4 linked regions of the Struthio camelus genome follow. The protein of the gene in region 2 interacts with the protein of the main gene of each other region in a biochemical or structural test. Links are inferred from orthologs where the notes say so. Each region holds a gene or a part of one and is shown on either strand. Other genes may lie near its edges.

Evidence for each region.
Region 1: the proteins of YWHAQ (region 2) and PRKD1 form a complex in vitro, tested with the Homo sapiens proteins (2 studies listed by BioGRID). The link is inferred for Struthio camelus from reciprocal best matches to the Homo sapiens genes YWHAQ and PRKD1.
Region 3: the proteins of YWHAQ (region 2) and CDC25B form a complex in vitro, tested with the Homo sapiens proteins (2 studies listed by BioGRID). The link is inferred for Struthio camelus from reciprocal best matches to the Homo sapiens genes YWHAQ and CDC25B.
Region 4: the proteins of YWHAQ (region 2) and MARK2 form a complex in vitro, tested with the Homo sapiens proteins (2 studies listed by BioGRID, with this or other methods). The link is inferred for Struthio camelus from reciprocal best matches to the Homo sapiens genes YWHAQ and MARK2.

What each region holds. Positions count from the first base shown.
Region 1 is NC_090946.1:52,818,232-52,825,993, forward strand, and holds the start of PRKD1 (serine/threonine-protein kinase D1), read right to left. Parts: upstream 3,012-7,762; 5' UTR 2,717-3,011; coding exon 2,519-2,716; intron 1-2,518.
Region 2 is NC_090944.1:24,949,896-24,957,892, forward strand, and holds the start of YWHAQ (14-3-3 protein theta), read left to right. Parts: upstream 1-4,988; 5' UTR 4,989-5,303; intron 5,304-6,629; 5' UTR 6,630-6,719; coding exon 6,720-7,013; intron 7,014-7,997. UniProt on the Homo sapiens protein: Adapter protein implicated in the regulation of a large spectrum of both general and specialized signaling pathways. Binds to a large number of partners, usually by recognition of a phosphoserine or phosphothreonine motif.
Region 3 is NC_090945.1:87,092,489-87,100,391, reverse strand, and holds the start of CDC25B (M-phase inducer phosphatase 2), read right to left. Parts: upstream 3,010-7,903; 5' UTR 2,995-3,009; coding exon 2,852-2,994; intron 2,461-2,851; coding exon 2,333-2,460; intron 1,541-2,332; coding exon 1,489-1,540; intron 1-1,488. UniProt on the Homo sapiens protein: Tyrosine protein phosphatase which functions as a dosage-dependent inducer of mitotic progression. Directly dephosphorylates CDK1 and stimulates its kinase activity.
Region 4 is NC_090976.1:1,145,996-1,153,129, forward strand, and holds the start of MARK2 (serine/threonine-protein kinase MARK2), read right to left. Parts: upstream 3,003-7,134; 5' UTR 2,988-3,002; coding exon 2,628-2,987; intron 1-2,627. UniProt on the Homo sapiens protein: Serine/threonine-protein kinase. Involved in cell polarity and microtubule dynamics regulation. Phosphorylates CRTC2/TORC2, DCX, HDAC7, KIF13B, MAP2, MAP4 and RAB11FIP2. Phosphorylates the microtubule-associated protein MAPT/TAU.

The sequences.
Region 1 (7,762 bases), on a different chromosome or scaffold from region 2:
GAGGTACCATCTACCCATTTCATCACTTCGAGGAAACTTGAAAATAATAAGTATTTTATCTAAAGATCACACTACAGTACATACTCCTTCGTAATTGACACAAGCAAACCAGTATTTTCATAATATCAAGGGTAAGCAATACTTTAAATCATTTCAGGAAAAGAGAAAAATATTAATCTATAAGATATGAAAAGAGTTACCTCATAATGGTCCTAGATACCTATGTACTTTTTTTTAAAATAAGGTCTCTGCCAATACATAGAGTAACTTTGTACATATACACAGTCCTATTACGTGTAGTGAAGTGATGCATGTTAGTGAAATTATATATACATACATACTTGCAGATTTAAGCTTAAAACAAAGTTTCTCAGGATTAATAACATACAAATTAATCTGCAGAATAGAGGGAGGTATAGGCCACCATCTGAAAAAAAGCCTATCTTTCTTTCCATTTTCCCTTTCCTTAAACCTCTTTCTTCCCAAAGGCAGTAATTTGGGCTGTGACAGTCTGTGACTAGAAGAGAGCTCCTCATTCAAGTATACTCTGTAGAAAAGCACCTAAAAGATTATGTCTTTCAAAAAAAGACAGTCTGTAAGCTACAACAAATTAAGCTGTTCAAATTTTTTATGTCAGTGCTTACTTAATCAAGTCTGACTCTTGGATGAGAAGCCAACACATTTATTTTTCTTTAGCCAACGCTACACTGTTAGGAAAATAGGAAATTGTTAGGAAATACAAAAGATTAGACTCAGGCACATTATAAACCCATGAAACGTATATGCTACTCAAGCACAAAAATATAAACAATGAATGCAACAATCTTAGCATATTTACATTACTGCTAATATAATAGCTGATAAACAGTTATATATATAAACTATACATAACCATTATAAACCATATATAGAAAGTTATATATAAACTTATAAACAACTTATATACCTATTAAAAGCATATATCTTGTGCATAACTTCTGTGTGAGCAAGCAACAAGTTTCGTCTGGGCTTTGAAAGCAAATACAGTAATGTTAAACTGCGGGCATGTCTTTCTTCAGAATTTAACTTAATAAAGCAGTTAACCCTTTCTTAAACTAAGAAAAATATAGAATTTTAAAAATGAAGCTGCATATTTCATACCATTTTGAAAACATGTCATTAGTTGTGAAAAAAGGGAAAGTTCACCCTCTGTAGTGAGGTTTAGATGACAGAGTAAAAACAAACCCAGAGCAAAACTACCAACTTAATTTTGGACTTTTTTTTTCCCCCTAAATCTTACCTCAGTAAAAAACAAGCAGTTAAAAAAAATTTCCCATTATAACTAACCTGAATATCTGGCAGTTTTACTTTTTAGCCCTTAAAAAAATCATTGTGATACTTCTACGTGGGTCTTTCAGACAACACACAGTAGTGCAGTAAAACTGTTAACATTCAACATGATTGTTGAGGCACAGAAACTCGAAAGGACAAAGAGTAGCGGCGTTGCAGGGCAGATCCAAGTGCAATGGGTTTTAGGGTGTTCCCCGAGTGGCGCGAGACTTCTGGCTAACTCTGTCCCGTGATGCTACAATTTCGGAGGAGCAGCAAGGTAAATGCCGGGCGCTGCACCCCGCGCCGCCCCCCGGCCGGGCCCGGCGGCCGCAGCACCAGGCGGTGCCTCCCGCCCCCCCTGCGCCGAGGCCACCTGCCGGCTCGCGGGGCTGCGGCCGCTTCCGCAGACCCCCCGCGGCCGCTGCGCGCCCCGCGGCCGGGCTCGCCCAGCCCCGCGGGGGGCTGCTGGCAGCGGCCGGCGGCGGAGCAGGAGGCGGGGGCGTTGCGGTGCGACTCCCCTCCCCCCCCCCCCAGCTCGCACAAGCCTCGGCGTTGCCCCCCGGGGGCCGCCCCCAGCTCCGCGCCCGGGGCGAGCGTCACGGCGGGGCGCGGGGGGCACCGGGCAGCCCGGCAAGGGGGAAAGGGTGCGGAGCGCCGCACGCCGCTGTGAATCCTGGGCTGTCGGGGCTGGATTTTCCTTGTTGGTGTTGTTGTTTTCTTTTTTTTTTTTAAGTGGAAAGTTTCCTCTCCCAGCAGAGGCTGGGACAACATATGAACTGCCCCAGGGCGCCGCGCTGCCATCGCAGCTGACAGGTTTCTACCCCCCCCCCGCCACCCCCCGCCTTCCGAAGCAGTAAAAAGCAGGCAGATAGATCCGGCTGGGGGTTGTTTTTAATAACAGCTATTAATACAGTAACTGCATCCCTTGCCAACAAAATAAAACCCAAAGTCTCCTGCCAGCATCCCGCACGGAGCCTCCTCGGCAGCGGGACCGGGCGGCGGGGCAGGGCAGGGGGAGAGGGCAGGGGGGCAGGCAGCAGAGGAGGGGAGCCACGGCAAAGCTGCGATCGGTCTCCGTAGCCCCGGAGCTGAGTCGCCAGGGAGAGGAAAGTTCACAGCCAAGAGCAGCGCCCGCGGGCAGAGGGGCTGCCGGAGCGGCGGGGGGGGGGGGGAGGGCACGGAGCTCAAACTGGGGATTTCTTCTTACCTTCTGGTCGACAATGGAGCAAGCCATTTCCCGGACGTGGGCAAGGCTGAGGTCGCCCGAGGAGTCCTGCAGCAGCAGCACCGGCTCGCGGCTCAGCCCGATCTGGAGGTGGAAGGCGACGCCGCCGCCGCCGCCGGGAGCAGCCCCCGCCGGCGGCGGCAGAGGGCTGGGCGGCCGGATCAGCGGAGGGGCGCTCATCGAAAACTTCCCGCCGGAGCCGCCGCGGGGGAGGCAGGGAGAGAGACGCGGGCACCGCGGTGAAAAGTTTGCGGCCGCCCCAGAGGCGCCGGGCGAGCTCCCCGCGAAGTTTCAGGGAAGTCCCGCCGAGCTCCTCCCGGGCGAAAATGGCGGGGGGGGGGCGAGGGGGAGGACCGGGGAGGATGCAGACAGGAAAAGGCGGCGAGAGACGCGCAGAGCGGTGAAGGCGGGGGGGGGGAGCCCGGCCCAGCGCCGGCGAGGTGCTGCCGCCGCTCCGGCTGTTGGCGCTGTGCGCGGCGCGGGGGCGGGCCGGGCCGCGCCCTCCGCCGAGGCCAGCCGGGCCGGGCCGTCTGCCGTGCCGTGCCGTGCCGCGCCGCTCCGCCACCACACGGCGGCCGCGTCCCCACGGGCGGCAGCGCTGAAATCGCCCCTTGCCGGCGGGTGCCCCCGCGCGAGGACGCCGCCGCCTCCACCCGCCCCATCGGCGCCCGCGGGACTGGCCGCCCGCGCCCCGGCCCCCCCCGCTCCCGCCCCGGTCACTAGGAGGGCACAGCCTGCCCGGAGCAGCGGCGCCCCCCCCCCCCCATTGCCCGTCACCCTCCGTTGTGTGAGACCTTCAAAGCCGCCTTCATCCCCGTTTCCCCGTCCCCTGCGCCCGCCCCGGCCGCAGCTGGTGGCAGGTGGAGGCAGAGCCTGAGGAAGCTGCGGATTTTCCCTCGCTTCGAGGCAGTGCGGTGGGCTCCTCAGGGCTGGGTGGCAGCAGCCGAGCCTGGGCGACGGTGGGGAGATTTGCGTGGGAGTGGGAGCTTCTGCCCATCCCCGGCTCCTTCTCCTCGACCGGCACCTCCTCCAGGAGCCCCCGTCAGGGCTATCTGCGGGAAGAGATGGGGGGAAAAACTTGCACCTGTATCTTCTGTAAGCAGCTTCCAGTTTCACATAATGGGCTGTGCTGAGAAGGAGCTCCCTGCCATCTAAAACCAGGATGAGTTATTCTTCCCAACTTTCAGGATCAGCGCAAGTCCCATCCATATGCACAAACAATGTGGTGGCAGGTGACATTTAATCAAAAAAAAATGCTAATCTCCACTTGGTAATCTGTCAAATGATTGGGGAAAAAGGAATTGTGAATACCTTAGATACCAAAGGAGAAACTCTTGAGTTTTTCATATGGCACCTGTAAGGATGGCAGTTGTAAATGTGTGTTTGTACGTAGAGGTTGATCCCACATTTACTTGGTTTTTTTACAAAGTACTTTTTTGACTAAATGTACAGTAACAATGTTATTTCTTTGCCATCATATGTTTTATTGGGTCACAATTTGCTGTGGCATGTTTATTTCACACCTGGGATTTGCCACCCTTATTGTCTATATAGTTTTGGACCCAGTTTATTCTTCAGCAAGTTTTCTTTTTAAACTGTTAATTTTAATCTGTGTCCTCTACAAAATACCAAGTCTGATGAAAATGTCAGCGTGCTAGATTGAGATGATAGTTAGTCCCACTTAGTAGCTTTTCTTATTACCTTAGGAGTCATAAGTATTTTCAACCACACCCTTTGGTTTTGCTGTTGAAAATCATACCTAGTGTTGCTGTTGTCTACACTGTTTCCTTAGGTATTAACGCTTTCAGTACTGTACCCCAGCTACACTGGTTACCATTGTGAGAGGCAGTTTCCTAACAGTTCTGCATGTACTGGATATTTTGGTGCTTGGATTTTTTGGTGCATGTATATTCATGCTCCCAGATCTAAAACTGCCCAGGCATTATAACTACTGCAGGCTTCTCACCATCCTGTGGCTCAGCCAGCTACTCTGTATAGCAGTGAGCATGGGAGGACTGTGAGATCCATCTGTGTGTGAATCTATAGCAGGAAGAACACGTGAGGTCAAAGTGCCATCCCTGAATGGCGCTCTCAAGTTCAAATACAAATACAAGGCCAGAGCCACCTCATGTAACTGGAAGAAAGTTTTTCTGGACATCGCAGTTTCAAGGCCATCCACTTCTCAGCTGTTGGAAGAAGCATACTAGAAGATCCTACAGCACTGCTTCACTGTCCAGGTGCTCCCTCAATACAGTGAAGTGTCACCAGCTACTTTCAGAGTGCCTCTTCCTTAGAGCTCATTGGGACAAAAGCAGATGTAGTTCTGATGGTAATGGGGCAGTGAGCTGTCCCCCTTTTCCTGCCCTTGCTGTATTTAATTATGGGATCACATAACTGAGCGTTTCACAACATGATTCACATGATGACTTCGGCTTTCAAGGGGAAGAGCAGAAAATAAGACGCAGCCAGGGCCTTAGTTACTGTGCAGAGTTACAGCTTTTCTGCTGCTCTAAAATAACTGGAGAGGAGATGTGGACAGAGTAGGCAAGTCACCAGCATCACAGCTAACATTCCCCAGCAAATTATTACACAGTAGCAAGGCTGACAGTGATACATCCTTGTTTTTCTTATCTATGTGAAATTTAATTATATAGCTCATAGGGTCATTATGCACCCACAGATCCACATACTCAATTGTGTGGACAGAGTTACAGGGCTATCTTCGCCAGGCAAGGTTATTGTATTTTCAAAAAGTTGTAGGTTGCTGCATTATTTGATAGGTGCATCTGACATGTTGAATGCATATTTGTAATCAAAATAGATATGGGCAGGCCTTCTTCAACATTGTGTCAGCAATGCTATTTGTGTCAAATGCTATTTATAAAAAAAAAGATTTCGTGAAATCAGATGATGTGATCCTGAATACAACCTGACCTGTTGTACTGACTGAAACATCCTCTATTTCATTATCTTTCCAGATGGGAGAATTATTGCTCTGATGTGAAGGAGGAGAAAAAACCATCTACCACAGTCTGTTCTCTTCCATGTGACCTGATACAATGTGCATGCCTGGTTGAGCCTTTCTGTGCATGCACAGTTGGTCCTTGGAAACCTCTAGAATTTTGGGTTTCACTGCACAGATTAGCTAAGCAGTACATGAACTCCCACAAGAATATACAGAAGTAAAATGAGTTTACCACACATGGCTGCACAGTTTATGCATCCAGGTACGCACAGGGGAAGGGCAGTCAGGAGACAGTGCCACTGTAAGATCAACTTATGAAGGCTTGTCCCAGCTACTCGCAAGGTACAGAGCCTTACCTGTTTGCAGCATATGCACATTAAACTGGACATGATGTCAGCATTTCTTGGAATGGGACTGCTTTTCTTGCACACGTGTATCACACAACCAGGTGCTTAATTCCAAGCTATGTTGCTGTAATATTATTTCTAACTACTCTGTATTACTGCAGCATGAAAGATGAATATTGTGCTTTATAGGTTCTCATCGACTGTATGCTTGACCTCCATCCGGTTCCACTTAGAGGCCTTTCTGAAGTTGTTATCTTTCTCCTTTTCTTTCAGCTTACTACACTGTATAGATGGAATTCTGTTCTATCCCCTCGGAATAAGAACCATTCCCTTCATGAAGGTCTTACTGCTAGATTTCTGCTCTTCTCCATCTGTGATGTAACTGGTGCTTTTGACCAGTCAGCTATCCATTTATCTTTCTGCTCTTTAGCACAAGTAATTATATGGTGCATATGTGCTAATTAAAAAAAATCTAAGAACAAACACCTGAAAGAGTAAACCAGGACATACCTAAAGAATGGAAAATATTCTATAAGGCAACTGCCTTGGACATAGCCAGACCGACAGACTGGTTAGTTTTTAGGTCAATGTAGCTGACCTAAAATTTAGTCTTGAGATGTTTCCATAGGGAGTAGAGCAAAGGTAATACTATGAGATGATTACTATTGGACTTGTGAGACAGATAGTGGAATATCACGCCCTGTTCTGGGATCAATATTTGAAAAATAGGTTACCTGATAGTATAGTGTATCTAGGCAAGGAGAAAAGAGCAAGTTTAAAGCAGAGAAAGGAGTAAGAAGAAACAATTTCTAGAAGCCAGACAGAAAGCGAGACCGGAAATACACCACAAATTTTAACTGTGAGAATGAGTTATGTTCTCAGTGGGCTCCAAAAAACCAGGCAGATTTTTTTTTACTTTGACAGCACACATGTACAGATGTAGAGAAAGTCATCTTCCTTCCTCCCCTGAAAGAAGTGCATCTTTTCTACCTAAGAAATAAGGCATTTTCTGTCTAGGAAGAAACTGAGTTAGCATGGACCCTTTGTTCCTTTTGTCAGCTCCATTTGTTTGCCTCTGCTGGACTCCATAGGCTGTTCCAAACAAAACAAGAGCCTACTGATGAAGAGGGAGTTCTTCAAGCCACTGCTGAAGATAACAACTGCAACTGCTTTTTATCCTTGAAAATTTACCTCCTTAGCCTCCAACAACAGATCTTATGTTAAAGTGGGCAAGGACACTGTTGCTGAATCAGACTGATTCCCATATTTGAATTCTACCACTACAATTTTTTTTTTTGTTTCCAAGCCTTCTCTCATCTCAGACGCTCCTGAACCACACAGCTTTAGGCTTAGTGCATGGATAAGGCATTCCACTGCCATTTTTTTAAACAGTCTGGCTTCTTGACATATCGACTTGTGTTCACACTGTAGTCCATTCTAAACTCCAGATCTCTTCCTGTTAAGTAATTATTTTGAAACCATTTGGGTATATCTGTAGTTGATTATTCCTGCATAAGCATACTACATTGCACAAATCTTTATAGAATCTCATCCTATTTTTCCAGACCTTTACACCAATTTGTTTAGATCATTTGAATTCTAATCACAAATGTTTCCACTGCACTTTCAGTCCATCTCCTTTCGGTATAATCCATAAATTTGATAGGAAAATTTGATAATAATCATTCAAGTCATTAGTAAAGAATCAAACAGAACTGGATGAAGGACAGACTCCTGTGGAATTCCATTCAATATGTCTTTTCATTTTGACACAACCATACTCTTTTGGATATTATTACACAATCAGTTTTATGTCCATTTTATACTATTTTCTTCCTAGCCTGGTTTGCTGTTTGCATACGAGAACTGCTTATAAGACTGTCAAAACCCTTGTCAGTCAAAATACATCACCCC
Region 2 (7,997 bases):
GTCTATTTTTTTCCAACTCTATCAGCTGATCTAGTAAGAGATATTACCTCTCTGCACCAGCTTTGCCTGCTTACACCCCTGGGCCGTCACACCTACGCAAGACTAGGAAACCAAGCTAATCATAGTGGCCCGCAGCAACCTGCCTGTGGGCCTTGAGCCCTTCTTCATACCTTAAACATACTGTTAACTACACTGCCTGCCACCAATCACCCCCCCACCTTGTGTAATCTGGTTGACTGATGTCACATCTCCCCTTTGGATAACGTGCATTCATAAGGCAGCTGCAGGGGAAGAAGATGGAGATGAAAAGGAAGAAGTGCAGAGATCAAAGGCATAACAGAAAGAGCTTTCTCTGAATTTACTAAACAACCAACTGATGAAGTACCAGTGCACCTTTATACATTTCTGTCTTGCTCCCCAGTGCCCCCTTCCCTCCAATACTACTCACTCCCTTAAAGCCATGCTAAACGTGTAGGGTTTATGCTTTCTGCCCTATGCATTTCATTTTTATGTCTTGCACACCCATTCCTCCTACCTGCTTTCTCAGTTGTCACTGCCATTGCAAAATAGCAGAAGAGACAAAAATCTATACATATCTTTTGCAATATAGACATTTTATGAAACTAGCAATTTCATAGCACCACAACGAATTGTTCATGGATGCGGGACCTTAATGGTACAATCCCATAAACTGGGTAATTTTTCTTGGATAAAAGCAAGCCATATAATTAGAAAAGGGAACTAGTTACTTGTAATGAAAGAATAATCAAATCATCATTAAAAGGAAATTAGCTGCATTTATCTTAATTCTATGGGCCCTACTGTTACCTCCTGAGAGAAAAAGCTTCAGGAGGATAAAATTTACTTGACAGTCTCAGTGACTTTTGCCACTCCTGTTTGTTCATGCATGAGGGCGCCGTTTATTATGTTTTGGCAGAGCAAGTTGCATTTAACTGAGAAAAAGCCATTAAAAGGCTATTTGTTTCCTTTCCTTAAAAAAGGTACACCTCACCTTTCAGGGATTGCATTTGGCTCCATCTGGCTCCCCTGTCCTCCCACTTGCAGCTCACTATTGTTGGGACAGAGCCAGGGAAGAAAGTAAGAGAGGATCTGCGAAGGCTTTGTGTCTAGCTAGAACTGTGCACAGTCTTGCTGAGCAGGAATCCTCTGTGGCTCTCTCCCAGGCTTTGGAGTCACTTCACATGAGGTTCACAGGACCTGCTTAGGACTAGTACTAACATACCTCTACTTTTTATGCTAACAGCATGAAGGGAACTGTTCTGCGTTTAGCCAGCATCCTCCCTCACCCAGAGGCCAAAAGGAGGAAAGGCAATCTATGTGGGTGTGTGTGTGGGGGGGGGTAGAAACACAGATAAAGTAAGCTTGATTCTACTCCCCAGAGCTCTTTCCACTCTTCAGTACCACATGATACAGAAGGAAAGGATGCAGAGAAATACTGTTACGTGCAATAATGTGATACCTGTTTCACCGCAAGAGAGAAGCGGAATCTAACAGTAACTACTGTAGGTATGAGTGAAGAGAAAGTGTCAGTCAAAGGCTCAGATTTTACTCTCAAATGTGAGCAACATTTCCCATGTCCCTCCCATCTCATTTGAGTAATCTGTGGCAGAGACGCAGAGATGCTGAATATCAGCAGGTACACCTGAAGTCAGTGGGATGTGAACTTTCAGTATACATTGAATATTATAAAGTGTTTTCTACTCTGGAATTGAAGGTCTTCCATTTCTCCATATATGTATCTGGAAGTGCTGATATTTTCCATTTCCTGAATGTAAGATAGGATAATACCATCCATTTCATAACCCTGTTACAGAAATAAAGTCATTAATGTTTAGCAGGATGATAGCACTCCTGAAAAGCCTTAAAGGAAATTAATAATTTTAGATTCAATGAAATGTAATGCTGTGCAGGAAACTGTACATTAAAATATACATGCAATAAGCATTAAAAACCATATTAACTAGAAACACAGAATTGTAAAGCTTCTGCAGTTTAGTCTCCTGCTATCTCAGGTGACTACATCACAAAATCCTTCTTATAAGCTGTCCGCCTTCAGAGCAGGTGGGCTTCTTGCCCTCAATAAAAGAAAGCCGTTCCATAACTCCATTGCTCTGAGAAGCCAAGATCTTCTAATTCTAAGCCTAAATTCCTTAATTGACAGTTTATACACATTTGTCTTCAGTTTAAATCACAATTCTCCCACCTTGTTATTTATTGTACTCCTTTTAAGACAACGTAAAATCTCCCTCTTAGCTTTTATATTGCTAAACTAAAGGCAGGAAATTCTTCTAGCCTCCTCTCATAAAAGCTCTCCCAAGAATATCATCCCTACTGTGAGAGAGGGTTCCTCTGGGGAAACTAGCTTATGGCTAGGTCATTAAAGACCATATCACGATGCAGTCTTAAGGCATATAAATCCACAGGACCCAAATCTGAACAAACCTAGACAGCAGCCACAACACCTAATAGGTCTGAAGCCAGACACAGGCCATGCAGCTGACCTGCACATATAAAGCAGACTCGATACGTGCAGGTAAGTCTGGACTCATTGCACAGCTGATATCAAGTCCTCTGTGCCTATGACTTGCTATGCCCAGCATTTCCCAGTTTTTTTATGATGGTCCTGCATCTCTTAATGCAAGCTTACAACGGGTGGGAGAGAGGTGTGAACTAAATTGTATGGCAGACTGTAATTCTAATATTTTCCTAATTTTTGAGGAGGGACAGTGAAGGAAGTAGTCTTGATTAGATCAGCTTTGCCTTTCATTAGGTCAGATTTGCTCCAATAAAATCTACTTATCCATGCTTTGTAGGTGACATTGTTTTATTTCTGATGGAGACGTGACATTAATCAAGAAAGGTTCTGTGCTGCCACTGGTCAGTTTTGATTTAGTGATTTTTTATTACCACTTTCACTTCATATGTGAATGGGGGCGATCATTAGGCACTTAAGTGAAAATATCCTATTGACAAGGAAGAATAAAAAGGCAATGTAAAATTGTAGCAAGTTGCCAGGACAGTAATTTCTGGGATAAGTTATATATTTCCATAAGGCTTTATGACAGAATTTCATTAACTTTGAACAGAGTATTATCAATAGGTCCTTTGCTATAATAGAATAAATGCCCAAACTTACATGGCAAGGACAAATAATGGTTTCTTCACAGCATAGACCTAATTTCCACATATATAATCTCAGTCCTAGTCCAAACAAAGATCAAGAACTTTACAAGCTGAGACAATATCCTGAGGTTGATTCAGAGAATTCATCATCCCATCTGGATGCTGAAGTTGCTGAACATTACTATATTTGGCGATGCTGAAATCAAAGGTGAGAAATTTCGTCACTTCAACACAGAGACTTTGTAGTGCACAGATATTTGTGAACCCAAACTAGCCTAAGGCCTGACAGACAGTATCTGATCCACTCCTGGATTTTGTATGCTGAATGTTGTGGCAAACAACACAAACCCACTATCTCTTTACCACTTCCTCTGAGACTCAGGCAGTATGAGTCTAGAAAAAAATCATGCTAAAGCATGAAGAAGACCATCCAATTAGCGTTTCGAAAAGACAAGCAGCAATAGTTGCCTCACATCTATTAATTCATGGCTGGAAAGCATTTTATTATTCAGTACGTAACAGCACGAACCTAAAATTCTAACCTCTGTCCATTGTATCTCTGACCTCTTGAGAATTAACTCCAGATGAAAGGAAAAAAAGCAAATATATTGACTGTCGCTTGTGCCAAATGCTTGTCTTCCCCTGCCCACGGCCTCACGACCACAGGAATATTACATCTCTAAAATCAACTTTCCTCTCACCCAGACCCTAAGGGCAGAGCACAGTCATGATAGCTTCATATAAACGGCTTCTGAAATCTATCATTGAGAATACTGCATGTCAGGATAAGCGTCTCCAGGGCCAGAGCAACTAACTATTCCTGACAAAAAGAAATTCCTCCAGACTCTACCATTAGGTCGAGAAACAGGGAGGAATGTATGACAGACCTTATTGGTCCTTCCTCCTCTCTGGCCTCAGGAAAACACACCTCATCCTAGACCAGTGGCTCCGAAAGGGCATAACTTCCTTTGTCAGAGACACCCCACTCTCACCCTATCATTATCTTCATTCCTCTGCTGTGAGAGCCCAACACCGGGCTCCGTGTCCTGCAGTCAGGGAGAACTCAAGCCCTGACTGTCCATTTGCCCCGGGGAAAACCGCGCACCTAGCCACGCAAGTGCACGCGGCGAGCGCGGCCCCACCAACGCCGGGAGCCCAACAGCCTCCGTCAACGGCTTCTGCTGCTGCCGACCGCCCAAAAGAGCCGTCCCAAAGCCTCCTGCTCCTCCATCTCCCGAAGCCGGCGCCATCGCCGACCCCCGCGCCCACGTCTGCGCCCCAGCAGCACCGCAGTCTCCGGCACCTCTTCCCCAGGGCCGGCGGGCCCCTCGCCCGCCGCGGCCCTCACGCACCCTGTCAGCGGCGGCGCCGCCGGCCCGGCCCGGCCCCCGCGGGGGCCCAGCGCTGGCCGCAGCGACCTGGAGGCGGAAGAGCAGCCGCGGCCTTTTCGGGAGGCGGAGGGCGCGCGGCCGCGGGGGAAGGGGGGAGGCCCCCGCCTGGCGGCCCCCTGGCAGAGAGCCCCCGCCCCGCCGCGCCCCTCCCACCCGGCAGCGCCCGGACGCTTCCTCCCCTCCCCCCGCGGCGCGCGCCGCGGCCCCTCGCGCCACCACGGCCGCCCCCCTCCCCCCCGCCGCCGCCGCCGCCGCCGCCGCCGCCGCCGCCGCCGCCGCACGAGCCGCCCCGGCCGCGCCCCCGCGCTATCTCGTGCCGCGGCCGAGCCCCGGCTGCCAGGGCGAGGAGGTGGTGCGGCTGGGGGGAGGAGGGGGGCACGCCAGCGGGGGGGGGAAGGGGGGGGTTGTAGCAGCATCACTATGGCGACAGTGACGTCATCTCACCCTGGATCTAATTGGAGGAAACCCCGTGGCCCCAGCCGCAGCCCACGGGCCAACCGAGCTTGTGCCCTGCCTGCGCTCGCCCCCGCGGCGGCGCGCTGTGCTCCGATTGGCTGCCGGGGCGCGAAGGGGCGGGGCCTCGGGCGAAGAAGACGCTCTGATTGGCCGCGTGGGCGCGGGTTGAGCAGCGGGTAGGCTTGCCTGTGCCAACGCCCTTTAGCGCTGGCTCTTGCCTGAGACGGGAGCGGCTCTTTCTCTCCGCCACAGCCCCGAGCGAGGCAGCCGATCCGGTGGCGCCAGCCGGCCCGGCCTAGCGCGCGGACTCAGGTGAGCGGGGCGCCGCGCGCCCGCCGGCGGGAGGGGGCTCCGCGCCACCGCCGCCGCGTCCTCCATTTTGTGAGCGCGGCGTGGAGTCCTCGGCGGCCCCGGGGAGCGGGAGGTGCCGCCAGCCAGCGCCGCCATTTCGCACCCGGCGGGGCCGCCGGCTTCCTCTTTCCGCCCCGCCGCCGCGGGGCCAGCCTCCGGCCGCCTTCGCCTCTCGCCCCGCCACCTCCTCGCCACCCCCCTAACCCCCCCCCCGCTGTCCCTGGGGACGCGGCCGGCCGCGGCGTGGAGCCGCCGGGCCCCCGCCCTCGCCGGGGCCGAGACCCCACCCACTGCCGTGCCACAGCGCTCCCCGCCCGCCCGCCCGGGAATGCGGAGCCGCCGCCGCGCCCCCCGCGGCGCTGGGGGCCGCCGTCCCGGGGCCGGAGTCGCCGCCGCTCCCGCCGCGGCCGGGTGGAGGCGGGGAGGCCCCGGACCCTGCGGCGCTCCCCCGCCCTGTCGCCGCCCGCCGCGCCCCGCCGCCAGGAGGCGAAGCTGCCCGGGGCCGGCCGCCCCGCCGCGCCCGGGCCTCTCCCGGCTCCCTCGGCCTCGCCCGCCCCGCGGGTCTCGTCGAGCGGAGCGGAGCGCGGGAGCCCGAGGAGAGACGGGTCTCCTCGCCGCGCTTCCCGTCCTGCACCTGGCCTGGCGCCCCGGGCCTCCCTCGCTGTTCGCCGGTTTATTTTTAAACCGTTCCTTGGGTTCCTAGGGGCAAACTTATCGCTGGGGTTTTTTTTTTGTTTGTTTGTTTGTTTCTGGGGAGGAGGATTTCTTTTTTTCCTTGCTGGTTCCAATCTCTTGTAATGGCTTTGGCATACCCCCTCCTTTTTCAGTGCTCACCTGCAGGGCAGATGGTGTACAGGGGATGGACTTTGGGCAGGGCTTACTGGTGGCTAGATATCTTTCTCCAGGTTCTTGCTAAGCAGTGTGTTAATTTGTTCACTTGAGGTAAGGAAGGGAAGCAGAGTGAGGACAAAAAGGCAGCTCTGAAAAGATAGCTGTCTCCAGCACTTGGTCTTTAGGCTGCTTCCCTCTGGGTAGAGCTGAGTATGCCTTCCCCAGTTCAGTTTCTAGGTCGCCATTTCCCTAGGGATGGGCCCTTGAGACTGGTGCCTCTCCCCCTAGCTCTGCATGGAGGAGCAGGATGCTGCCAGTCCTTCAATCCAGGAAACGCTCCTGGAGATGAGGAAGAGGATACAAGACTCGCTACAGGCCTAGTTATGAGGAGCAGCATAAGATCATGTTCTGTATCACTTCAACCCAGAGTCATGGTTACTGTCTTCTTTCTGGCAGGTTTTCAGGGCGTTCTCTTCTTGACAGTGTGACATCCCCAGCTTCTCCTGCTTTTGCTACTCTACTGCTCTCACCCCTCTGCCAGCCACCATGGATAAGACCGAGTTGATCCAGAAAGCCAAGCTGGCTGAGCAGGCTGAGCGCTATGATGATATGGCCACCTGCATGAAGGCAGTAACCGAGCAAGGTGCTGAGCTTTCCAACGAGGAGCGCAACCTGCTCTCTGTGGCCTACAAGAACGTAGTGGGTGGGCGGCGCTCTGCCTGGAGGGTCATCTCTAGCATTGAGCAGAAGACAGACACCAGTGACAAGAAGATGCAGCTTATCAAGGACTATCGGGAGAAGGTGGAATCTGAGCTCAGGTCCATCTGCACCACTGTGCTGGTGAGTGGAGTTTCTTTTGCCCTCTCTTTTCTTCTCTTTGAGAGAGAGAAACAGTATTCATGTATGCTGCTGTCCTGAGGAGTAAGACTGTGAACTTGGCTGAGGAACGTCATGCACAATATCATGCTGTGGTAGGGGAAGTCAGTGCAGTAACTTCCGCAACTGTTGTGAGGGTTAGCGTAAGGAGGAAAATCGTCTGCGCTGCTGAGGAGCATGTCTGTGCAAAGGTATTTGAGACCCACAGACAGTGTTACTCCATGTAATTGCAGAGTCGCAGAGGATTTGGTCTCATGTCTGTTTGCACTGCGGTTAGTAAGCTTATCTGTTCATAAGATCAGCGGAAAACAAAATGATACATGAATTTTTTTCTTCAGATGAGACCTAGTACATTGTTAAAAGCATTTAAAGTAACTGGGTGTGTGTTTCTTTCACTTAGTGTTTCTTTGCAAGAAACAAATTCTCCAGAGGTCTTTAAGACATCTTGAAAACTTTCCTTTTACGTAAAAGTGTGAGTTTATAAAGTAAAACATCATCTTCAGTGAGCGTAGAAATAAAGATCTGCAGAAATTGGCTTTGTCATGTTCAAATTGACTTTTCAGTGGATCTTTACAACGAAGTTGCGGTAGTTACAGAATAAGGTAAGACCATGGTTTGAAGACTGACATAATACACCTCAGCAGGTGAAGAAGCCCAGTAATACAGAATTTACTCTGCTATAAGGAGCAGAATTCCAGGTGCTATTAACAGTGAAAGTACACTGTGCTGTGGCAGGGGCTGAACGTGCATCACCTTCTTCTACGTGATCAGGGAGTTCTGGCTGCAGGCAGTTGGATAGGTGTAATGCGCTAAGAATTGTGTGGCAAGTAATCTTTAGTAGCTTATTACACCTCAGTTAAAAATGTATTTTTGGTGTCTGGTATTGCAAACACAAGAAGAAGCAAGTCTACAAGGAAATAAACATTTACTGAGGTAAATGAATCCTGA
Region 3 (7,903 bases), on a different chromosome or scaffold from region 2:
AGCAGAGGAGTGACAGCGAGGTGCCCTGCAGCCTCTCCCAACACCCACTGCCATGCACATGGGAGAGGGGTCTGCACCCCCAACCAGCAGGCTGGGATGGGGGGGACCCCTGAGGTCACCCCACTAGGGCCAGCACTCTGCCCTCACTCCTCTGCCCCCAGCAAACGGGGGCCCCATCAGGGTGCAGGTGGCTCAAGCCACAGCCCGGGCAGGATGCATCCGGAGGGGGCTGCACCCTGCTGGGGGGGGGGGGTCCCGCAGCCCCCCACCAACCCAGCTCTGAGCTGGAGCGCCGAGACAAAGCCGGCGCGAGAGCAGAGGGGCCGCAGCAGCCCGCCGGCCCCTGCTCTCCACCTGTATGTAAATCAGCAGCACAGGGAGGGGGAAGGACGCAGCTGCGGGGGGGGGATGCAGCCGCTCGGCAGCCATATGGTCCCGGCAGCAGCGCCGGAGCAGCGTGCCGGGGCTGGAGGAGCCGGTGCCCCACGCCGGAGCCCCCCCGGGGCCGCGGGTGCAGCCTCGGCGCCCTGGGACAGCGCTGGCCAGCTGCTGTGGGAGCACAGGAATGCCGGCTGGCCCCCCCCAAGCCACCACCGCGTCCCCGCCACGGCCATCTGCCCCCAGTTACTCATTCTCCCAGGGAACATCTGTTGGGAAAAGCCTTTGCAAACAGCCAGAGCAGGTGCAAGGGGGAAGGGGAGGTGGCGGCGGCCCCGCGGGTGCAGCGATCGCAGGGGCTGGCGGGGGGGGGGGGCAGGCAGCAGGAGCCCCCCAGCACCCCCAGACAGCACTGCTGAGCACTTGGCTCTGGGTCTGACCCCCGCGCAACCTGCCACGGCCCCGCTCTCCCGCGCCCCGGGCGCTGCTGCGTGGATGCCGCAGCAGCTCTGGGTTTGCACCAGCGCTGCCCGCACCCAGGTTTATGGTGCCAGCATTGTGCAAGGGATCGGCATGTCCCCGCTGTCCCCAGCACCGGGCGGTTTCTCAACCTGCAGGAAACGGAGCTGCAGGTGATAAGTAGGTGGGTGGGTGCGGGTGGGGGGAAGCAGGGCACAGTTTGAGACATGCTCCTGCACGAAGCTGATGAAATCTTAGACAGCGCTTGCTGGGCATCACCACTGCCTTAACCTTCCTCACTGCTCTGTGCATCCCAGCCACCCGTGTCCCCTCTGCCACGGCCCATGGCCACTGGCCCCTCATGACTCCCAGTTGCCCCCAGCAGCATCCGCAGCCGGCCCCAGCTGCAGCAAGGAAGCTGAGCCGTGCCACAACCGAAAACCTGGCCAGAGCCTGGTTCAACCTGCACCGCAGGCAGGTCGGGCTGCAGCAGGAAGCAGCCCGGCTGCGGGGACTGGCAGCCGCCTCGGGGTGGGGCGGAGGGTGCCACGGCCGGGAGGGCAGATAGCGTGAGAGGGGAGGGTGAGGCAGGAAGCCCGGGGTGGGGAGCCGCTTTCGGCCGGGTTCGCGAACAGCCCCAGAGACACTTACACGTCTTCAAGCGCCTCGGGGTCCTCCTGCGTCGGGGAATCCAACCCCACTCCTGCGGGAATAAGGGGCCGAGATGAGCGGCCGGAGGAGCGCGGGGTGCAAGGCGGGCGCCTTCCCCTCGTTCGGCGGAGAGGCAGGGCGAGAGCATCGCTCAGCCCCCGCGCGCTGCGACCTGCTGGGTGCCGTCACCGGCTCATCAGGGCGCCGGGGGCTTTGCGGGAAGCCAAGGCCCCCCCCGTACAGCAGGATGGGGCCGATCCCGGGAACGGCACCCGGCCGGGCCGCCCCAGCATCACCCCCATGCTGGGCCGCCTCCCCCACCCCAGCTGCAACCAGGGACCCCACGTTAAGCAGGATCCTGCCAGCCCAGGCAGGGCACCCCGGGGAACAGCGCAGCACCCGCATGCGAACCAGAGCCTCCCGCAGACCCAGGCCCAGAGCCAGCAGCCCAGGCACCGGGAAGGGCTTTCGCACGCTCTTCCCAGAAGGGAAGAGGACAAAACCAAAAGGAGTCTCTCAAGAGGAAGTTTCCGAAACAGGAACTGCAGAGGCCGGGCCTCCGTCAGCAGCGCGGGCCTGTTTAAAATTCAGGAGTGACTCAGAGCCGAGGCCGGAGCCAGGGAGCTGCAGGCAGCCCTTCCTCCGAGGGGCTCCCACGTGCTCCGCGGCCCCCGGGCCTCCTCGAAAGCCCCTGCCCACCCCCCCCCGAGCTAACGGGGAGCCGGGTAGAGGCAGCACCCGCATCCTGCGCCCCACGGTGCAGCATCCCCCAGGCAGCCCCAGCTTTCGGGGAGCGAGAGCCAGGGTCCCAGCCCTGCCACGGGACGGGGGGTCCGGCACTCACCCGCATCCGAGGACTCGGAGGAGACGGAGTCCTGGGACGAGTCCGAGGCCACCGAGTCCTGCGACAGCCTGGACCAGTCGCTCTGGAAGGACATGCCCAGAATCCTTCTCTTGGGGGTGTCACAGTGGCTGCGGGAAGGGGAGAGGATGTGGCAGCTCAGGGGGGGACACACACATCCCTTACGGCTCTGGAGCTCTGCCCCATTTCCCCACCGTGCTGCTTTATCCCGAGCAGACCAGAATTGCTCAAGAACCCCAGATGGAGGGCAGGAGCGAGCCCACATCCACAGGGATGCCATGGGCTTTCCTGATGGGAGCCGAGATCGTGGGTGGTGGTGGGAGCAGATGAGGGCTCAAGGGCAGAGCCGGCTCAGAAGAGCTGTGGCCCTCACCGGGGCCTCAGGGCTCAGCACCCCTCCTTCACCCAACATGGGAAAGCACCGCTGCCACTCAGCCAGGCTCAGGGGATGGGGGGGGGAACAGCCCCGACAGCCCCCCCCCCCGACGGCCACACACTCACCTGCCCAGGCCCGTGAGGTTGTCCATGTCCAGGGCCAGCGTGGTCACCGGCGACATGCCGGCCGGCTCCGGGGCCAGCAGCGCCGCCAGCCCGGGCAGCCCGCAGGGCCGGCGGGGGCTGCGCCCGGGGCCCGGCGCGGCCATGCCGGGGGGGGGGGGTGCAAAAAAAATTAAAAATTAAAAAAAAAAAATAAAAGCAGCGGGGCTTGCGGCGGAGGCCGGGCTCAGCAGCAGCGGCGGCGGCGGGGCGGCGGCATGGGGGGCGGCGGGGCGCGAACCCGCGGCCCGGCGGGCGGCAGCGGCGCGGGGCTCCCGGGCGGGGAGCAGCGGGGCCGCCGCCGCCGCCGCCCCTATTTATATTCGAAAAATAACAAGGGAGGCGGCGAGGCGGCAGCCAATGGCGCCCGGCCCCAAAGCCCGGCCCCGCGCGGGGCGGGGGCAGCCGGCTGGCCGGCGGGGGCCCGGGGCCGGGGGGGGAGGCCGGGGGGGTTGGACTGGGGGTGCACGGCTGGGGGAGCGGGGGGGCTAGGGGAGGACGGCTGGGGGTGCGCGGCTGGGGGGCATGGGGGGTTGGACTGGGGGTGCACGGCTGGAGGAGCGGGGGGGCTAGGGGTGCACGGCTGGGGGGCATCGGGGGTTGGACTGGGGGAGGACGGCTGGGGGAGCGGGGGGGCTAGGGGAGGACGGCTGGGGGGGCATGGGGGGCTGGGGGTGCACGGCTGGGGGAGCGGGGGGGCTAGGGGAGGACGGCTGGGGGGGCATGGGGCTGGGGGTGCACGGCTGGGGGGCATGGGGGGCTGGGGGTGCACGGCTGGGGGAGCGGGGGGGCTAGGGGAGGACGGCTGGGGGTGCACGGCTGGGGGGCATGGGGGGCTGGGGGTGCACGGCTGGGGGAGCGGGGGGGCTAGGGGAGGACGGCTGGGGGGGCATGGGGGGCTGGGGGTGCACGGCTGGGGGAGCGGGGGGGCTAGGGGAAGACGGCTGGGGGGGCATGGGGGGCTGGGGGTGCACGGCTGGGGGGCAGGGGGGGTTGGACTGGGGTTGCACAGCTGGGGGCCCGGGGGGGTTGGACTGGGGGTGCACGGCTGGGGGCGCGGGGGGGGCTAGGGGAGGACGGCTGGGGGGGCATGGGGCTGGGGGTGCACGGCTGCGGGGGCATGGGGGGTTGGACTGGGGGTGGACGGCTGGGGGGGCATGGGGGGCTGGAGGTGCATGGCTGGGGGGCAGGGGGGGTTGGACTGGGGTTGCACAGCTGGGGGGGCCGGGGGGGTTGGACTGGAGGTGCACGGCTGGGGGGGCATGGGGGGGCTGGCCTGGGGGTTCACGGCTGGGGGGGGCAGTGGGGGTTGGACTGGGGGTGCACGGCTGGGGGGGCATGGGGGGCCGAGGGGGCACGGCTGGGGGGACGGGGGGGGCCGAGGCTGAGGGGCACGTCCAGGGGGGCATGGGGAGGCTAGGGGAGGACAGCTGGGGGCATGGGGGGACTGGACTGGACTGGGGATGCACAGCTGGGGGGGCATGGGGGGCTGGGGGGGCATGGCTGGAGGGCTGGGGGGCTAGGGGAGGATGGCTGGGGGCATGGGGGGCCTGGACTGCAGGAGCACGGCTGGGGGTGCAGAGCTGGGGGAGCATGGGCATGGCTGGGGGTGTCCAGCTTGGGGGGCATGGGGGGCTAGGGGTGCACAGCTGGGGGCATGGGGGGACTGGACTGGACTGGGGATGCACAGCTGGGGGGGCATGGGGGGCTGGGGGGGCATGGCTGGAGGGCTGGGGGGCTAGGGGAGGATGGCTGGGGGCATGGGGGGCCTGGACTGCAGGAGCACGGCTGGGGGTGCAGAGCTGGGGGAGCATGGGCATGGCTGGGGGTGTCCAGCTTGGGGGGCATGGGGGGCTAGGGGTGCACAGCTGGGGGCATGGGGGTCTGGACTGGGGGTGCATGGCTGGGGGGGCTGGGGGTGCACGGCTGGGGGGCAAGGGGAGCACAGCTGGGAGCAAGGGGGGGCCTGGACTGGGGGTGCGGAGCTGGGGGGGCTGGGGGGCTAGGGGAGGACAGCTGGGAGCCTGGGGGGCCTGGACTGGGGGTGCACGGCTGGGGGGCTGGGGGGCTAGGGGAGGACAGCTGGGAGCCTGGGGGGCCTGGACTGGGGGTGCACGGCCGGGGGGGCTGGGGGTGCACGGCTGGGGGGGCTGCAGGGGCTCGGCCAGAGGGGAACGGCTGGGGGGGCTGGACTGGGAGCTAGGGGGGCATGGTGGCTAGAGGAGCACGGCTGGGGGCATGGGGGGGCTGGAGGGGCATGGGGGGTCGGGGGGCATGGCCGGGGACATGGGGGGCTGGGCTGGGGGGCATGGGGAGCTAGGGGTGCACAGCTGGGGGGCATGGGGGGGCTAGACTAGGGGTGCAGAGCTGAGGGGGCATGGGGAGCTGGGGGGGAAGGTCGGGGGACATAGGGGGCTGGCCTGGGGGTGCATGACTGGGGAGCATGAGGGGCTGGGGGGGAATGGGGGGGCTGGCCTGGGGGGTGCACAGCTGGGGGTGCATAGGGGGCTGGGGGGTCATGACTGGGGGGTGCATGGGGGCTGGCATGCGGGGGCATGACTGGGGGTGCATGGGGACTGGCCTGGGGGTGCACAGCTGGGGGGCATGACTGGGGTGCATAGGGGGGCTAGCCTGGGGGATGCAGAGCTGGGGGTGCATGGGGGGGCTGGGGGGGCATGACTGGGGGGGCATGGGGACTGGCCTGGGGGTGCACAGCTGGGGGGCATGACTGGGGTGCATAGGGGGGCTAGCCTGGGGGATGCAGAGCTGGGGGTGCATGAGGGGGCTGGCGGGGCATGACTGGGGGTGCATGGGGACTGGCCTGGGGGTGCACAGCTGGGGGGCATGACTGGGTGTGCATAGGGGGGCTAGCCTGGGGGATGCAGAGCTGGGGGTGCATGGGGGGGCTGGGGGGGCATGACTGGGGGTGCATGGGGACTGGCCTGGGGGTGCACAGCTGGGGGGCATGACTGGGTGTGCATAGGGGGGCTAGCCTGGGGGGTGCAGAGCTGGGGGTGCATGGGGGGGCTGGGGGGGCATGACTGGGGGTGCATGGGGACTGGCCTGGGGGTGCACAGCTGGGGGGCATGACTGGGTGTGCATAGGGGGGCTAGCCTGGGGGATGCAGAGCTGGGGGTGCATGGGGGGGCTGGCGGGGCATGACTGGGGGTGCTGGCTGGGGGTGCATGCAGCGGGGTGCAGGGCTGGGGGTGCATGGGGAGGTGGGGGGCATGACTGGGGGGGCATGGGGACTGGCCTGGGGGTGCACAGCCGGGGGGCATGACTGGGTGTGCATAGGGGGGCTAGCCTGGGGGATGCAGAGCTGGGGGTGCATGGGGGGGCTGGCGGGGCATGACTGGGGGGGCATGGGGACTGGCCTGGGGGTGCACAGCTGGGGGGCATGACTGGGGTGCATAGGGGGGCTAGCCTGGGGGATGCAGAGCTGGGGGTGCATGGAGGGGCTGGGGGGGCATGACTGGGGGTGCTGGCTGGGGGTGCATGCAGCGGGGTGCAGGGCTGGGGGTGCATGGGGAGGTGGGGGGCATGACTGGGGGGGCATGGGGACTGGCCTGGGGGTGCACAGCCGGGGGGCATGACTGGGTGTGCATAGGGGGGCTAGCCTGGGGGATGCAGAGCTGGGGGTGCATGGGGGGGCTGGGGGGGCATGACTGGGGGGGCATGGGGACTGGCCTGGGGGTGCACAGCCGGGGGGCATGACTAGGGGTGCATAGGGGGGCTAGCCTGGGGGATGCAGAGCTGGGGGTGCATGGGGGGGCTGGGGGGGCATGACTGGGGGGGCATGGGGACTGGCCTGGGGGTGCACAGCCGGGGGGCATGACTAGGGGTGCATAGGGGGACTAGCCTGGGGGGTGCAGAGCTGGGGGTGCATGGGGGGGCTGGGGGAGTATGACTGGGGGTGCATGCGGGGTGCTGGCTGGGGGTGCATGCAGCGGGGTGCAGGGCTGGGGGGGGTGCACAGCACTCTGGGTGTAGGGCCTGAGCGGGGTACGCAGCCAGGGCGGTACCCGAAGGGGGAGCGCTCAGCCGGGGGCTGCAGTGGGGAGGAGCACGTGGCTGGGGGGAGGCGTGGGGGGTGCGCAGTTAGGGGGTGCGCGGCAGGGAGCAGAGTGGGAGGGGTGCAGGGCTGGGGGGGCAAGGGGGGTGCACGGTTGGGGTCAGCCCCACAGATGCTGGAGCTGGCCCCACAGATGCTGGGGTCAGAGCTGGGGACAGCCCCACGGATGCTGGGGTCGGAGCCCCCCGGATGCTGGGATTGGCGCCAGGGTCAGCCCCCCTGCATGCTGGGGTCAGCCCCATGGATGCTGGGGTCAACCCCACGGATGCTGGGGTCGAAGCTGGGGTCAGCCCCCCTGCATGCCGGGGTCAGCCCCATGGATGCTGGGGTCAACCCCACGGATGCTGGGGTCGAAGCTGGGGTCAGCCCCACGGATGCTGGGGTCAGCCCCATGGATGCTGGGGTCAACCCCACGGATGCTGGGGTCGAAGCTGGGGTCAGCCCCCCGGATGCTGGGGTCAGCCCCATGGATGCTGGGGTCGAAGCTGGGGTCAGCCCCCCGGATGCTGGGGTCAGCCCCACGGATGCTGGGGTCGAAGCTGGGGTCAGCCCCACGGATGCTGGGGCCAGCCCCCCGGATGCTGGGGTCGAAGCTGGGGTCAGCCCCACGGATGCTGGGGCCAGCCCCCCGGATGCTGGGGTCAGCCCCATGGATGCTGGGGTCAGAGCTGGGGTCAGCCCCCCGGATGCTGGGGTCAGCCCCATGGATGCTGGGGTCAGCCCCCCGGATGCTGGGGTCGAAGCTGGGGTCAGCCCCCCGGATGCTGGGGTCAGCCCCACGGATGCTGGGGTTGGAGCTGGGGTCAGCCCCCCGGGTGTTGAGGTCAGCCCCACGGATGCTAGGGTCGGAGCTGGGGTCAGCCCCCCGGATGCTGGGGTGGGAGCCCCCCGGGTGCTGGGGTCGGAGCTGGGGTCAGCCCCCCGGATGCTGGGGTCAGCCC
Region 4 (7,134 bases), on a different chromosome or scaffold from region 2:
CCCGAGGCCTTATCGCGGCCCGCGTCGAGCCTCTGCCAGGCGACGAGGCTTTTCCAACCGGCGCTCGCTGCCGCCCGCCCGCCCGCGCGGCGGCTCCCACCCCCAAATCAGGCCAGATTCGAGCGCTCCCGGCCCGCGGGGGCGGCAACCCGGAGCAGCGGGCGAGGAAGGAGCGCCTGGACTCGGCCCGACGCTGCAGGTACCGAGGTCGTCGCTGGCTCGAGCCCGCACCAGCCCAGAGCTGCCGCCACCGCGGTTTTCGGGCCCCGTCTCCCCGTGGCAGCGATAACGGGCCGCCGCCGCCGCCTGTTCTCCGGGAGGCTGGGATCTCCCGGAGCAGCGGGCCGGGGCGTCCCTGTCGGGCTGCGACAGCGATCCGCCGCCCCGTGGAGGGACCCACCTCCGCTCGGGAGAGCGGCGGAGGAAATCACGACCCTGCCAGATCCCGCGCGTCTTCCTACCTCCCGCTTGCAAGAAGAAAGAAAAAGACAGCCCAAAGCCTCTCTGCAGCCGCTGCAGACCCCGCCGGCACCCCGGCGCGGGGGTTTAACGCGACTCCGGGCCGCGGCTCGCCCGGCGCAGGGTGCCGGGCTCAAATAATGCCTCCCGCGACGCTCGAATAATTCCTGCCGGCAGCCCTCGTCCCTCCGCGGCCGCCGGGGCGCCCTCACCCCGTCCCCTCCGCCGCCACCGCCCCGACCCCGCACGCCGGCGGCTTTCCAGCCACGTGGTTTCCCCACATCCTCCCTCTCCAGGAGGGAAAGGGGACGAAAGAGGGAGCGCAGCCGAACAGGCCTCCTTCCGGACGAGCCCCGCCAACTCCCGCGCCGCCCGAGCGCGGCCTCCGACCCATCCGGCTCCCGCTCGGTGCCGCCTCCGAGGAAAGGGGGAACCTCGGGGGCCGCCCGGAGCATCCCGGCGCTGCGCAGGGGTTACCCGGCTCGTCTCCGGCGGCAGCCAAGGGCGAGCGCAGCCGGAGCGGCCCCGCGCCAAGCCGCCGCTGCCCGTGTTTCGGCGGGGGAGTCACGGCGGCTGGGGCCGAGCTCCTGCCTCCGTCCCGCGGCTCCGCGGGGATCTGCCGGGCTTCGGTCGCTCAGGGGAACAAGGGGGGGGGAAAAAGTACTTGAGACGACTGTTGCTCTTCAGACACCCGGCTGGTGCCAGGCAGGGCGAGGAGGAGTCTCCGTTACAAAGACGCTGTTGAGATTATCTCTGCCACCGTGAACAGCCACTCCGGCTGCAGAAAAAACGGAGTTACTGGAAGGAGGAGGGGGGGGAAAAACCCGCTGCACAAACAGAACAGCTCTACCTGCCTCCGGGAAGGAGAAACGCGTCGCCGGGGCCGCAGCGGCGCCCCAGGAACGCCGCGCTCCCCCTCAGCGGCGGCTATTTTCGTCGCAGCCGGAAAAGCGCCGCGCAGGGTGGCGGGCCCGGGGAGAGGTTCGGGTTTCGGACGCGGGGCCCGCGGCCTCTCCCAGGCGGGACGTCACTCGGGACGTCCCCAGCCCCGTTCCCGCATCCCCGAAACCCGCCCGGGGAATTTCGGGGAAAAGGAACAAAACCCGAGGCAGCCCCCAAGGGCGCGGGCGGCCTCGTGCGGCTCCCGGCCCCGAAGCGCGAGGGGCCGCGCTCCCCTTCGCTGCGGACGGTCCGCAGATCCGGGCGCATCCCAACCCTCCAGTCTCGTCAAGTCCTCGGCTCGGGCGCCTTCCTACGGCTTGAGCTACGGAGAGACGGGCGCCGGAGGAAGCCCTCCGGCCAGCGCGCGCTCCCAAGCGCGGCGAGATTTCCCGGTCCGATCCCTCTCCTAGAGGTGCCACGCCGAGGGCCGGAAGAGCACCGACGGCGCTGCGATCGCGCCGGGCGTTTTCACCTCCGTCTCCCGGCGGATAAAACAGGCCCGATCCTTGGCCCGGCGCCGAGGGAGCCGGTCCGTCTCCCTCCCGGCCGCGGAGGGAAGGAGGCGAGTTCAAAGGCGGAGGGAGGCGAGCGCCGGCGGAGCGGGGAGACCTTCGCGCCGCCCCAGCGGAGGCGAGCTCTCCCTGGGAACGCCGGAGCGACCGGCCCTTTCCCCCTCGTAAACGCCCCGTGGCCGTTTCGGGCGGCCGAGCAGGCGCGACCCACCTGCCCCGCCTTAACCAAAAATACCTGCCTGTGAGTTTTGGTTACGGAAAGCCGGAAAACGGGGAGGGAATCCTCAGCAACGCCAACGGAGACCCGCCCAGCCCCGCCGACGGGGGGCGCCGACACGGGCGGCTAGGGAGGGTTTTCCCCTTCAATTTGGGCCCCGCACGGGCAACTCGCGGCCGCCCACCCGCCTGCGCGGCTCGTACCTCGGCGGAGCAGGCTTCGCCCGGCGCCCGAACCGCTCCTTCCGCCCGGCATCGGAGCGGCCGCCCCCCGGGACCAATTCGGAGCCCCAACTCCTCCCTCCCCGCCAGAAACGATCCCGAGGAGATCGCTCCGAGCGAGCGACGCCCCAGGAGGCTCCCGGACCCCCCTCTCCCCGGAGGGGCCGCGGCGGAAGCGGCTCGCCCGGGAGGCGATCCGCCCGCCACCCCTCGCCCCGACCGGCCTCCCCCCGCCCGCGACGCCGGCTCGGGAAGCGCCGGCGAAGGGGGACTCACGCGCTCCGGCGCTCGCCGGCCCCGGGCGGATCGGCTGAGTCGACCCCGGTCTGCCTGCCGGCTCGGCGGCTCCGGCCGTCGGCCCCGCGGGAGCCAAGCTGGGCGAGGCGGTGCCTGCCCCGCGCCGCCGCTCCGGAGGAGGAAGAGGAGGAGGAGGAGGAGGACGTTCCCCAGGCGCCTGGGAGAGATCCGAACTCTCCCAAGTGCTGACTGGCCCGGGAACGCCAGCCAGCCGTTCCCAAGACCGGCTCGACCGGTTCGGCCAACGCTACCCCGATCCGGGCGGCCTCCCGGGGCTCCCCCCCACCACGTCTCCCGGCCCGGCAGGAGCTCCCTCCGCCACCCCGGCGGTCCGATCATCCGAAACGCCAGGAATAAGAGAACCCTCCCCGAAAAAACCCCGACGTATTTGAAGCCGCGCGGGCGGCTCCCGGCGGGGACGGGCAGGACCTGCCTTGCTTGTCCAAGGCGGCGGCTGCAGGGCTCCCGCGTCCCTGCCCCCCCCCCCCCCGGCGACCGGCTCGCACCGTTCGGCCTCAAACCGCCCGGGATCGCTGCGGGAAAGGCGCTTCCCGGCGGGGACGGCACTAGGTCAGTAGATGAAGCCACGCGGCCTTGTGGCCTCATTCTTCCAGGAAGGCGCTCGCCGCCGGCTCGGCATTTTCTTCCCCTCCGGCACCAAGCGGGAGAAACACCTCCCGCTCGCAGCTCTGAAATCCGGGGGGGGGGAAGCAAATCCACGTGTGCCTCCCCGCACGGGCGAACCGTGGCGTTCGGACTCAGGGAGGGGGGATGCACGTGGCCGGCAAAGCCAGCGCGCCGCCTCACCTGGCTTTCGACGGCTTTTCCTGGCAGCGGGGAGGGAAAAGGGCTTCCCCGGGCGGGAGCCGGGGCCGCGCCGCTGCGGCGTTAACGTGCCGAAGCCCTAAAATCGGGCCTAAAGATCCCGATTCCAACAACGCGAAAGAAGAGCCCGAGGTCCCGGTGGGGCGACGCATGCCGGAGGCCCGACTTTCTGCGGAGAGCCTCCAAACAGAGCCGAGGACGCGCCGGGGAGAGCCCCGTTTCTGCGGGACGACGAGATGCCAAGCGAGCGGGGCTCCCGCGCGGCGCGAGCGGCTTCCGGCCGGAGCGGAAGGGCGCGAGGGCCGCAGGGCTTTGACGCCCGGCGCCTACGCCCCTCACCCGTGAGGTTCCTCCGCGGCGTTTCGAGATAAACCAGAGAAAACAGGAAGTTTCGCAATTTATCTGTTAACCTCAGCGGGGCTGCGCCTACCTTGAGCGCTCGGGGCTCTCGCGCTCAGCCCGGCGCCGCTGGCTGCCCCCTCCTCCCCGCCGGCTTTTCGGCTCAAGGCAGACGCCGGCGGCATCCCAAAGACCGGAGCCGAGTTCACCGCGCTGCCCGGATGAGGCTCCTACCTCCGCCCGGGATTTATCCGCACCTTAAGGAAAAGGAGCCCGAGGAACCAGCGAGGAGAAAGAGGGCGACGGCGGCGCGAGCTCCTCGCGCTCTCGAGGAGCCCAGCCGTGTCGGCGGCTCCTCTCCGCGCTGCCGCCGCGAGAACGCCGGCGGTTTGGCAGGAATCCGGATTATCGGCGAAACAAGGGTTTAACGGAAGCAGATGACAGAAATCTTGGCTCTGAATTCGGCCCTGCATTTGTCTTTCCATATTATGCACCACAATATTCCACTCGCAAGAGGAAAATGAAAAAGAATAAATAAAAACCAGAGGGAAGAGGGGAAAGGGAAGGGAAAAGAGCATTTCTCGAGGAACGGCGAGCTGGTTGGCAGCAGAGGCAGAGCCCCGCTCTCGCCATCCGCGCGGGGACGAGGGGAACATAAGCCTTATTTTTCTCCTCCAGCAGTTTAAAATCGAGGCAGCTGAAGAGAGATCATGAAACAGCTTTAGATCAATCGTGCTTAAATGTCAGCCAAATTTAGTTATTTTGAAGTTTTTTTTTTTTTTTTTTATAAGAACGCCAGATCAAACCCATGTGATGCGAGCGCTTTGCAGGAACGGAGGAAGACTCCCCGATTTCGAGGTCTCCGAAAGGAGGAAGAAGAGGGAGAGAGAAACGTCGCTGCCCGCAGGAGCGCTGCCGCCGCCGCCGGCCCGGCCGGGCTCGCGACGCGTCTCTACGCGCCGTCCTGGGAGCGGGGAAAGGAGCCATTTAGCCGGCTCGGAAGCCATTTGGGAACGCGGCTGCGCCCTCCGCGCCGTCCTGGGTGCCGGGGGCCCGGCAGCCAGCCGCCCCCTCGGCGGATCCTCCGCGCTCCCGACAGCGACAGCGCGGGAACGAAGCCGTGAATAATTACCCGCCGCCATTATATAACCCGCCCCAGCAGGAAAAGAAACGCCTCCAAACGTGCTCTGCCGACGAGGTCCGACGCCGGAGCAGGGTCGTCCTGGCCCGGCCGCGCGGCGCTGCAGACGCTGTAGCGCCCGGCGCGGAGGGGTTTTTCCCCCCCCTCAACGTTCCCGGGCCGACGAACAGCCAACGTCGGTTTTCCCACCGCCGTCTCCCGCGCAGCGATAAAACACGCGGAAAAGGGTCGGGTCCCTCGCGGCGTCGACGCCGGGCCCTCGCCTTCCCCACGGCGAGGAAGCGGCGTTACCGGACGGAGGGGGAGCGCCGGTACCTGGTCTGCGCCCGCCACGGGTCCCTCTGGATCCCGTCGGGGAGCCGGGATGCGCCCGCTCCCTCCTGCCGTCGCGGGAGCGCGGCGCCGGCTCCTGGGCCCAGACGCGGCCCCCGAACCCGGCACGGCAGAACAGCGGGGAGCAGCCAAACCGCCCCCAAACGGCGGCCGACCGGGGGGCTGCCGCACGCCGGGGGAAGGATGAGGGGACCCCAAAATCCTCCCGTGAGGGAGGAGCCTCAGAACGATGCTACGCAGACACCCCCCCCCAGGCACCCTGAGCCAGAAAACGGGGACCCACAGACCAAGGATGTCCCCCAAAACGTATTTATCAAGGAGAAACACCCCAAACCGCGGACAGACACCAGGCAGGCACCCCTCAAACCAGTAAAAGGGGTGAAACGCACCCCCGGTATCAACGCAGGGGGGTCTCCCCAGTTTTGGGGACCCCCAAACCCCTCCCAGCCTCAACGCAGAGGGGTCGCGCCAGCCCGGGGGGGGCCCAAAGCCCCCAGCTTGACGCAGAGGGCTCAGGCCAGTATTGGGGACCCCCAAAGCCCCCCAGGCTCAACGCAGAGGGGTCGCGCCAGCCCGGGGGGGGCCCAAAGCCCCCAGCTTGACGCAGAGGGCTCAGGCCAGTATTGGGGACCCCCAAAGCCCCCCAGGCTCAACGCAGAGGGGTCGCCTCCACCTGGGGGGGGATCCCAAACCCCCCCAGCCTCAATGTAGGGGGTCACCCCAGTTTTGGGAACACCTGAAACTCTGCACCTCACAGCAGAGGGGGCACCCCAGCCTGGGGGCACCCCAGCCCCCCCAACACAGTCAGATCACCCCAGCCGGAGGGGTGACCCCAAAGCCCCCCACCCCAAAGCAGAGGGGCTACCCCAGACCAGGGAGACCCCCGAGCCCCCCCCATCCTCAGCACAAAGGGGTTACCCCAGACTTTTTTTTGGGGGGGGACAAACCAGGCACCACCCCTAGGGGTGGGTGTCCTGCCACCCACGCACCCCGCTCCAGGAGGGCCTCAATCCCCCCCCCAAGCCCCTCGTCAGCCCACGGCAGGGGGCTCTCACACCAATCGGGGGGGGAGAGACACCACCCCCACATACCCCACTGGGTTGGGAGGGCCACAACCCTCCCCCACATCCCCAGCGGAGCTGGGGGGGGGCTCACGCCCCCACACCCCATCCTTACAGCCACAAAAAGGGGGGGGCCCAAGCCAGGGGGACATGCCACACACCCCACCTTGCACCAGGGGAGGGGTGGTCTGCACCCCAAATCCTGCCCCCAGGGGGGTCCCCGACGTGGGGGGCTGGCACCCCTCTCGTGCCCCCTTCCCTTGGGGGGGGGGGCGCCCAGCGCACAGGGCGAGCTGCCCCCCAAACGCACCCTGGCGGGGGAGGGCACCCAACCAGGGGGACCCCGGCTCCCTCCGCCCCCCCCGGAGATTACCCCCCCCAAGAGGGTCCCCGAGCCCCCCAGCGGGGCCCGCCGCGCCCCCAAACCCCCGGAGAGGGGGCACCACCCAAGGGGACGCGGCCCCCGGCCTACCTGCTCCGCGTCCCTCTCGTTGACGGTGGGCAGGGGGCTGCGGCCGCTGCTCGACATGGCGGCCCCCCCCGCCCCCGGCGACTATCGCGATAGGGGGAAGCCGTGGAGGGCGGTGTGGAGCGGGGCGGGGGGGGGGCGGGAGGGAGAAGGGAGCCCCGGGCCGCGCTCAGGGGGCGGGGGGGGGCCAAGCCACCGGCATGGGGGAGGCCGGGGAGGGGGAAGGGAGAGGAGAAAGGGGGGGGGACAAGGGGGGAACCGGCGGCGAGTCCGCCCGGCCCGGCCGCCGCCGCCGCCGCCTCACGCTCGCGCCTCCTC